Ovis aries: one gene and its partner. The protein of the gene in region 2 binds, or shares a complex with, the protein of the main gene of each other region. Links are inferred from orthologs where the notes say so. Each region holds a gene or a part of one and is shown on either strand. Other genes may lie near its edges.

Region 1 (4,599 bases), on a different chromosome or scaffold from region 2:
CTGCTGGTGCCCAGCACTGGTGCAGTGGAAAAGGGCAGTCCAGCCCTGAATGTCCTTCATTTCCAGCTCAGCACCTTGCTTCAAGAGAACAGAGAATGCCTGTTAAGGCCACGTCTCCTCTGCACAGGGCGGGCACCCTCCAGGCCATTACACTGAAAGAATCGAAGTGATTACCCAAGCATGCTGCAGTGCTTCCCTATCTGCCGAGTGGCCTGAGACCCTTGCAGCTCACCTGGAGAAGAAAATAGGCGATGCTCTCGTTGCCACAGCTGGAGGCCAGCATCAGTGGAGTCTGCCCTTCCGGGGTCGGCACATTCACACTGACCCCCGCCTCAAGCAGGAGGTGCACGATGGTATCATGTCCAATGTAGGAGGCATACATCAGCGGGGTCCAGCCACCACCGTTCTTCTTATTCAAATCTAACTCTCTCCTAAACAAATGCAAGACATGCTAGACACGCCAGCCATCGTACATGTGGGACTTACCAAACCCAGTGGCCAGGCCAAGAGAAAGAGTGGGGAGTGCTGACAGGAAGCAGAGTCAACCGCCACCCTGGACATCACAGGGTTCAGGGGTGACTCCACTTTCTGGACCACTGCCTCTGCAAACTACCTTGAGTTTGCCTCTGTGCTCCAATTTCTTGTTCTCATCTGTGCCCTCTTCCTACCCCAAAGTCAGCTCTTCCTTCCTCCCACCAGCCACAGAGACAGTTCTCAACCAGGGGAGGTTCTGCCCCCAAAGGATGGTTGGCAAAGCCTGAAGACATTTTTTGACTGTCATAACTGCGAAGGGAAAGGCTACATCCAGGGGGCGCAGGGAGGCCGGGCATGCTGCTCTGCATCTGCTGCTAAGGCGCTTCAGTCGTGTCCGACTCTGTGCGAGCCCATAGACAGCAGCCCACCAGGCTCCCCCGTCCCTGGGATTCTCCAGGCAAGAACACTGGAGTGGGTTGCCATTTCCTTCTCCAATGCATGAAAGTGAAAAGTGAAAGTGAAGTCACTCAGTCGTGCCCTACTCTTAGCAACCCCATGGACTGCAGCCTACCAGCCTCCTCCGTTAATGGGATTTTCCAGTCAAGAGTACTGGAGCGGGGTGCCATTGCCTTCTCTGAGAGATCTTCCCCGACCCAGGGAGTGAACCTGGGTCTCCTGCATTGTAGGCAGACGCTTTACCGTCTGAGCCACCAGGGAAGTCCACAATCTACCCATGGGTTAAACGTCTACAGCTGTGGGCCAGGCCTCGCTAGCCTCCTGATGGCTCCACCTGGGCGGTGGCGCTCAACCATCCGAGAGGAAGGAATGCCTCCCAGGACCTCTTACCGCTGCACACACTCCTTCACCACCTCGTACTGGCCAATGGAAGCGGCTGTGTGCAGATCCAGGGGGACAGCCAGCTCCTCCCGGTCGACCTGCGTGCCCAGCCCGTGCCACATGGACAAGCTGCGGTTCAGCAGCTCTGGCTCGCTGGCTTCATCGCTGAGCTCCGACATCGCGGTGGAGGGGGATGCTGGGGTCACTTGGGTCTTTCCTTCCTGGTAGTTCCAGGGGATGAAATGCGATGGTCACGCTCCTGCCGCAGCAGACTGCTGCCCACAGCAGCTGAACAATCCTGGCTGCCGAACCTGAACAAGAATCCAAATCAGCTGCAGTCAGTTCTGCACTCCTTTCAGAACACCCCTTCAGCCTTCTTTGGGGGTGTCTCTTCTACTCCAAATGCCTCCTCCAGGGTAGGACCCATATTCTCTTTTATTGGAGGCTCGCTCAGTTGGTAAAGAATCCACCTGCCATGTAGGAGACCCCGGTTTGATTCCTGGGTCAGGAAGATGCGCTGGAGACCCGACAGGCTACCCACTCCAGTATTCTTAGGCTTCCCTTGTGGGTCAGCTGGTAAAGAATCCGCCCGCAGTGCAGGAGACCTGCGTTCAGAAAATCCCCTGGAGAAGGAAAAGGCTACTTACTCCAGTATTCTGGCCTAGAGAATTCCATGGACAGTCCATGAGGTCTGTCAGACCCCATGAGTCAGACACGATTGAGCGACTTTCAACTGTATGAAACCAGGCACAACGCTGAGAGCCTATCAGAATCATGGAAGGAGAACGTGGATACCCAGGGACCAAGCTGCTTTATCACCCTGCTCCATGCCAGACGCTCTAAAACCACGGGCTATTCCTTAGGAACAGAGTCATCTACAGGTATATATCACGTATACTTGTCGAAAATCTTTTGCTTATCGCTTCTAGAATTTATCTCCAGGAAGCAGCACTGAGAATGAGATCTTTTAATTTTCCTTCCACCTTCGCGTTCTGTCCATTCGGTAAAATGCTAAGTATCTGTTACTTTTAAAGCACACCAAAGTAAATAACAACAACAAATGACGTTGGTGGTGACCGTCACGCCCACAGGGAGGAGGTCTGTAAAAGCCCGAGGGCACCGCGTCCTGCCCCGGGGCGTGGGCCTTCCGCTGCCTCCAGGCATCCCCACCTCGTTCTCGGGCCCCGGGGAGGGTAACCTAGGGAACTACCCAAGCGCCGACGCCTCCTCCCAGTAACCTTACCCCGCACGTGGCTTTCCGTCCCGGCTCCTCAGCTGCGAAGATCCTCGGAGCTGTAAACTCCCGCGGCGAACCAGCTGCAGGGCTGGGACGCCCCGCGAACGGGCAGCAGGTGCGAGCACCAGGCAGGGGCCGGGCCGCCGCGGAGCCTCCCCGCGCTGGGCCTCGGCCCCGGGCAGCCCTGGGGCCGCCGCTGGCCGCCGCGCTCCCTCGGCCGCGCCCACTCGGGCTCCCTCCGCGCCGGTCACCGCCACAGCGCGCGGACCCAGCGGCCCGCTCCCGCCCCGGAAGTGGTTGCGGGCGGCGCGGAGCACGACGGGACGCTCGCGGGTCCCCCTCGGCCTCTCCCGGCGCTGTAGATTTTTCGTCCGTCCCGCACCCGGACCTTCCGGTCAGCTCGCCCGGCTCTCTGTGTGACGCCCACAGCAGCCAATGAGCAGGGGGAGTCCTCCTTGCCCCGCCCCTCCGCTGGCCAGGGGAACCAATCGTGTTTCAGGAGCGGCAGGACGCGCCAAGTCCCGAAAGACGAGCGGGGGGGGTGGGTGGGAAGGATGTGGCTGTTCAGTGATGTAAGACTGATGAACCGGGATTCCGAAGGCGGCGACGGCCTTAGTAATCGCGCCGCTGCCCAAGCGGGAGAACACGACCGAAGAGGCGCGGCGGGCCCTTTTCGTCCCTGTCGAGGCCGGGAAGAGAGGCGGAGGCCGAGGCCGCAGCTGCGAGATAATTGTTGGGAGGTGGACAGGGTGGGGGCTGGGAAAGCAAGCTGGGGAATAGGTGGGAGGACGCGCGATGGTTTCCGGTTTCCGAACTTTGGAATTTAAAAGCCCCACCCGAGTGGCCGGTGGCGTCCAGTTGTCATAACAACCCGCGGTCCGGCGGTGGGCGGTGCCGGAGACGGGGCGGTAGGCGGTGCCGGAGACTGGGCGGTGCGCGGGGGCGTGGGGGGCGGGGCTGGGCGGGGGCGGGGCTAACGGGCCGCAGCCAAGAAACGGACGTGGAGGCACGGTCGGGATTATGCCAGACTGGGGCTGCTGCTTTGTGTGGCTTTCGGCAGCCCGTTCGGTGAGCGACGCTCCTCAACCTGGCGTTCAGGACCCTTCACGGTCTGGTCCGTTTGCACCGCAAACTCCAGCAAGTGAAAATTTCTTCCCCCAACACGTTAGGTACTTTTCACTCCTCTGAGCTCTTAGGTGCTCTTGCCGCAACCTGTAATGCCTTTTCTTTCTCTGTTACTTTGTCCTCCTGGAGAACTTAAGAGTCTCCGGTTGTCCCCTTCAACCAGGTGATTCTGTTGCCCTCTGATCTGCCCTGCAGCCGGAGAACATCCTGTGATGTATATACCAGACCTGCCCTGCTGTTCCCAGATCAGGGTACACCAAGCTCCTGTCCCACTCCTGTGAGCACAGAAAAAGCAAAAAGTCCCCATTCACCTCGCCTGCTGCTTCCCTTGTTGGGGGCCAGGGCTGGGGCAGGAGTGTTCTCTTCCCATTTTATAGTGACAGAGGCCTCTCAGGCTGCAAGTACTCTCAAGACGCCGGCTCTGAAGTGCCATCACCCCACAATTCTAAGCCTCCTTGACCCCTGAAGGGGGTCTGTTAAGACTCTGGGATACAAAAGGGGTGTGTTGGCCTGACAATTTGAGTGTCAACTCCAAAAAAAGTGTTCTGGGGACTCCAAAATGTCTATTCTGTTCCTTTGTAAGGGGGCAGTAAAAAGTAGTAGCTTGAAATCCCCTCTGACTTTGATACAAATTCTGTCTGTAGATAATAATAGTATCTATGTTATATTGGACATATATAGTTTACATATATCTATATGTATATCTATCATATATCTATACATATATCTATGTATCATTCTGTACATCATATCCATATATCCACATATCAAATACATATATATCAATACATATATCTATATATTGTAAAATATCACCATATCCATTTATCTGTGGCTCCATCCTGCATTGTGCAGACACACATACAGTACGTGATGGCACAGTGGCTGACACTCAGTAACAGGAACCTGCCAACTAGAAGGGAGAT
Region 2 (3,953 bases):
AGTGCCAGATTATTAAACAAATAGTATTTGGCCCCAGCTCTTTTTGTGAGGTGCTAGGAAACCCACCCCCTGCCCTCATCAGGGCCTTGGAGACTCCCAGCTCTCTCCCTCACATTAGCTGCAAGACAGGGTACCCTTGAGGCTGTAATCGTCACTGTGACACCCTCCTCACCCCCACTGTGGTCATTCCCTGGGCTGTGGAGGGGTCCCTGGAGTTGCTCTGATATTGATGCAATAATTGGAGCCCAGAGTGAGGAAGGGACCAGCCCAGGGTCAGTGGGCATCGAGCATAGCTGCTCCAGCCTCCTGAGGTCAGGCTAGACTGTCAGTGATTCGTTTGTACCAGATGGTTGCCTAGCAACAAACACTAGGCCCAGTTGACACATTCTTTTCTGTCGAAGAGTCTTGGCATGAAGGAGGCTGTGGGCTATAGCAAATTAGGCTCTTAAACACTTAAAAGGAATGAGACATATTTTTTAAAATGAAGTTTCATAATAATTTTTTTATAGTATCTCAAAGGCAGAATTAGGCACTTGGTTCCATGGCCCTGTCTATAGTTTCCTATAAGTGCCCTGGAGTTAACTAGTACCCTTTCTGGGGTGGGTGCTGGTCACTAGGAAAGATAACAAAAATTGTTGCTTGTGTGGTGGTGGTGATTTAGTCGCTAAGTCATGTCTGACTCTTGTAGTCCCGTGGACTGTAGCCTGTCAGGCTCCTCTGTCCATGGGATTCTCCAGGCAAGAATATTGGAGTGGGTTGCCATTTCCTTCTCCAGGGGATCTTCCCGACCCAGGCATCAAACCTGGGTCTCCTGCATTGCAGGCAGATGATTTACCAACTGAGCTATGAGGGAAGCTGTTTGTATAGAGCTTAAAAATTTCTGGAGCGTTTTCCCATCTATATTATCCACCCCTGCAACCACCACCTGCTCTCCATGTTAGCATGTTGTCTGCATTATCAGTGATGAGGAGACACATCTCTGGAAATAGGTGGATCCGGATATCCTGGCTCCAGACTCCTTGTGCCACTCTGCACCTTCTTCCAGCTGCTGGCGGAGGCTGATCGAGACCAGGGATGTGGTCCAGAGTCCCAGGTTTTCTCCTGCAGCTGCTCTATTGTCTGGTATTAGTCAAAGGAAGTCCTGCATTCACTCTTAACAAGCGAAAAGACTAGTCGTGAGGGTGGCTACTTTCTGAACAGGAGGGAGCAGGTTACCCACTAGCTCTAGCTTCAAGGAGGGTGATGCAGAACAGATAAGTAAGGGGCTGGCATTGGGTGGGTGCAGCGAGGCCCAGCATGAAGACATCAGAAGGAAGCATCTGCAGGTCTGGGTCATGGGTGGCCTTCAGAATCACTCAGATGGCTGCTTATTTGGGAAAGAAAGCAAATATTAGCATTGGCAACCATGACCTCCTCTGGGTTTAGCTGCCCAGTGTCTTAGGTATTAGAATGAAAACCTGCTCTGGAATTACTTCATGGTTGTACATTTACTTTTTAGAATAAAAGAATCATTGTTTCTTCTTAAAATCTTCATAGGAATACAGATTTTTCCAAGACTATACTTTTCCATTATATCTGAGAAAGGACATCCCAAAATTTGGAATGCCTAAAAAAGACTGCTTTATGAGTTGCGGGATCCGGAAATGGTCTGCTCATTCATGTTTTCCTGGCCAGATGACCTCCCACAGTCTGTCTCTGAAGCGTTTTCAGACAGTCTGATGATAACCCTTCCAGAAGGGCTGCTGGAGTTAGTCCATTACCTAGGTCTCTGATTAGATTGCTTGTGAAAAGTAAATCATTTTTAAAAGTAGGCTGGGTCGTTACACCCTTGTAACTTTTCTGTTATTTTGCACTTTTCCGTGGTTAACTTTTAAAAATCTTTGTTTACCCAGATGAGGAGAAAAGGCGACCTGATATTTTCCATGCATTAAAAATGGGTAAGCACTTTAGAAAATCTTTGGATATTTAAGAATATAGTACTGTTTCTCCCAAACTAATATTGATAGTCCTTTTCAAGGCCACCCAGAGTATTTGGGAAAGAAACAGGTGTTTTGTTGTTTCCTGACTCTGGTTTCACCCAGGGAGGTTCAGACCCTGGAGGCTGGTAGTTATGGTGCTTTGCATACAACTTCCAGATTATTTTCTCAGGCCCCCTCTGCCTCTCCTGCTAGACCCTGTGGCTATGTCCTAGCTTTTACTTACCTCTGAAATGCCTGGCTGCCCACCTCCCTACTCCACTCTCTGTGTAATGAAGAGCTATTTAGTCTAGTATTGCCTCTCCTGAAACAGACCTCCACCTCCAGGAAGCCCACCCTGATCCTCACCTCTTAGGGAGACCTGGGCTCTCTTTCTGCATGTGCATTGCCCCTCATCATCACTCTTCTTTTAAGACAGCAATAACACGTCTCTTTTTCAGTAAAGCTATTTGCGTGCTTGCCTCCATCCCTCATAGACTGAAGGATTGGAGAACGGGGGCTACCTCTGACTCATCTTTGTAGCCCCTGCGAGGCGCAGCCACCCAGTACAGAGGCCAGCTCAGCACATTTGTTCTGGGAAGCCACTGGGTAAATCATCCTGCAGTGCCAGGCCCGTGGATCACCAGGACTTCTGCTTCTTTGGCAGGAAACTTCCAGCTGGTCAAAGAGATTGCTGATGAAGACCCCAACCACGTGAACCTGGTTAACGGGGATGGGGCCACCCCACTGATGCTGGCAGCTGTCATGGGACAGCTGCCTCTGGTGCAGCTGCTGGTGGAGAGGCATGCCGACGTGGACAAGCAGGACAGTGCCCACGGCTGGACAGCCCTCATGCAGGCTACCTACCACGGGTCAGCACCAGCCCCACCCCCTCAGCAGGGAGCCTAAGAGGATGCCCCGGGCTGAAATAGGGTGCCTAATGGGTTGCTGGTCCTGAGACGCTACAAATAAGCGCCCCACACATTGTGAAGATGCTGAGACACTCAAAACGATGCAGGCTTGGTCTGTCCTGTGTTCCTACCCTTTGTGTCCAGATTTCCTATTGCCTCGGCAGTGTTACCTGGTGCTTCCGCATCCCTTCTCGTCCAGTCACCCCTCTCCCTTCCTGGACGCCTCCTCCTTGGGGCAGGCTGACCAAGGGGCAGGGATCTGCATATAGCCTTGCACCTGCTCGGTGGTGATCTGATTCCAAATTAGGGGCTCCGTCCTTGCCCCGCTTCAGGTGATGAGAGCACTCTCCTGTGTCCTCTGAAAGTGGCTTTCTTCCTCATTTGATCCTCTGACTTCCACATCAAAGACTCTGGCCTGCCGGAGGACTTTAGTCAGGTCCCAGTGAGGGGCAGAAGGGGTGGGGTCTGTGTGTGGTCCTGGGAGCCAGTGGTTTTGGGGCAGAGCCTTGTGTTTTCATTTTATTCGTGGAAGGAGCACTCAGGCTTTGATTTCTGTCGTGACTGCCCGCAGGGCAGGGAACAAGGGCTGGGGGACAGCTTTCCGAGCCCTCTTTCACGTGCACAGATGCTGCTGGAGTTAAGGCACCGCTCTTGTTGCCCAGGAGCAAGGCCACACTTTCCCTTTCAGCTGGTCTCACTCTGGCTTTTTGTTTCTTCCACAGGAACAAAGAGATTGTCAAATATCTGCTAAACCAAGGAGCTGATGTTACTCTTCGTGCGAAAAATGGGTACACAGCCTTTGACCTAGTGATGCTGCTGAGTGATCCTGGTGGGTTGTTTTAGGAAAAGCGTTTTAAATTTGCTGGGTTTTCTGACTGGGAATCCAGATCATCCCCTATGTGTAAGCACTTGTTTATTTAAGGCGGAAGCCACTCTCAAGCCCCCAGAGCTTCCCACACACCCTCAGGCAAGTCTTCACTTCTCCCAGGTGAAGGCCATTGGGGAGAATGGGCGCAGCTGGGACCAGCTAGTCCCTGAGGCCTCTTCTGGCTCCAGCCTTCCAGGAGTCTCCAGGCAGGAAGGCCTT

The links. Proteins that work in one complex are often made in the same cells at the same time.
Region 1: the proteins of ANKS6 (region 2) and ANKS3 are in contact, whole or in part, in a crystal structure (PDB 4NL9), measured with the Homo sapiens proteins. The link is inferred for Ovis aries from reciprocal best matches to the Homo sapiens genes ANKS6 and ANKS3. Residues at the interface, in NP_775822.3 of Homo sapiens: Glu796, Gln797, Glu798, Val799, Asp800, Glu802, Ala803, Thr806, Leu807, Asp811, Glu814, Leu815; in NP_597707.1 of Homo sapiens: Lys441, Tyr442, Thr470, Leu471, Phe472, Gly473, Pro474, Arg476, Lys477, Arg484.

What each region holds. Positions count from the first base shown.
Region 1 is NC_056077.1:4,380,810-4,385,408, forward strand, and holds the start of ANKS3 (ankyrin repeat and SAM domain-containing protein 3), read right to left. Parts: upstream 2,844-4,599; 5' UTR 2,555-2,843; intron 1,935-2,554; 5' UTR 1,782-1,934; exon of another isoform or gene 1,623-1,781; 5' UTR 1,491-1,622; coding exon 1,321-1,490; intron 432-1,320; coding exon 233-431; intron 79-232; coding exon 1-78. UniProt on the Homo sapiens protein: May be involved in vasopressin signaling in the kidney.
Region 2 is NC_056055.1:49,050,364-49,054,316, forward strand, and holds part of ANKS6 (ankyrin repeat and SAM domain-containing protein 6), read left to right. Parts: intron 1-1,892; coding exon 1,893-1,937; intron 1,938-2,622; coding exon 2,623-2,827; intron 2,828-3,588; coding exon 3,589-3,695; intron 3,696-3,953.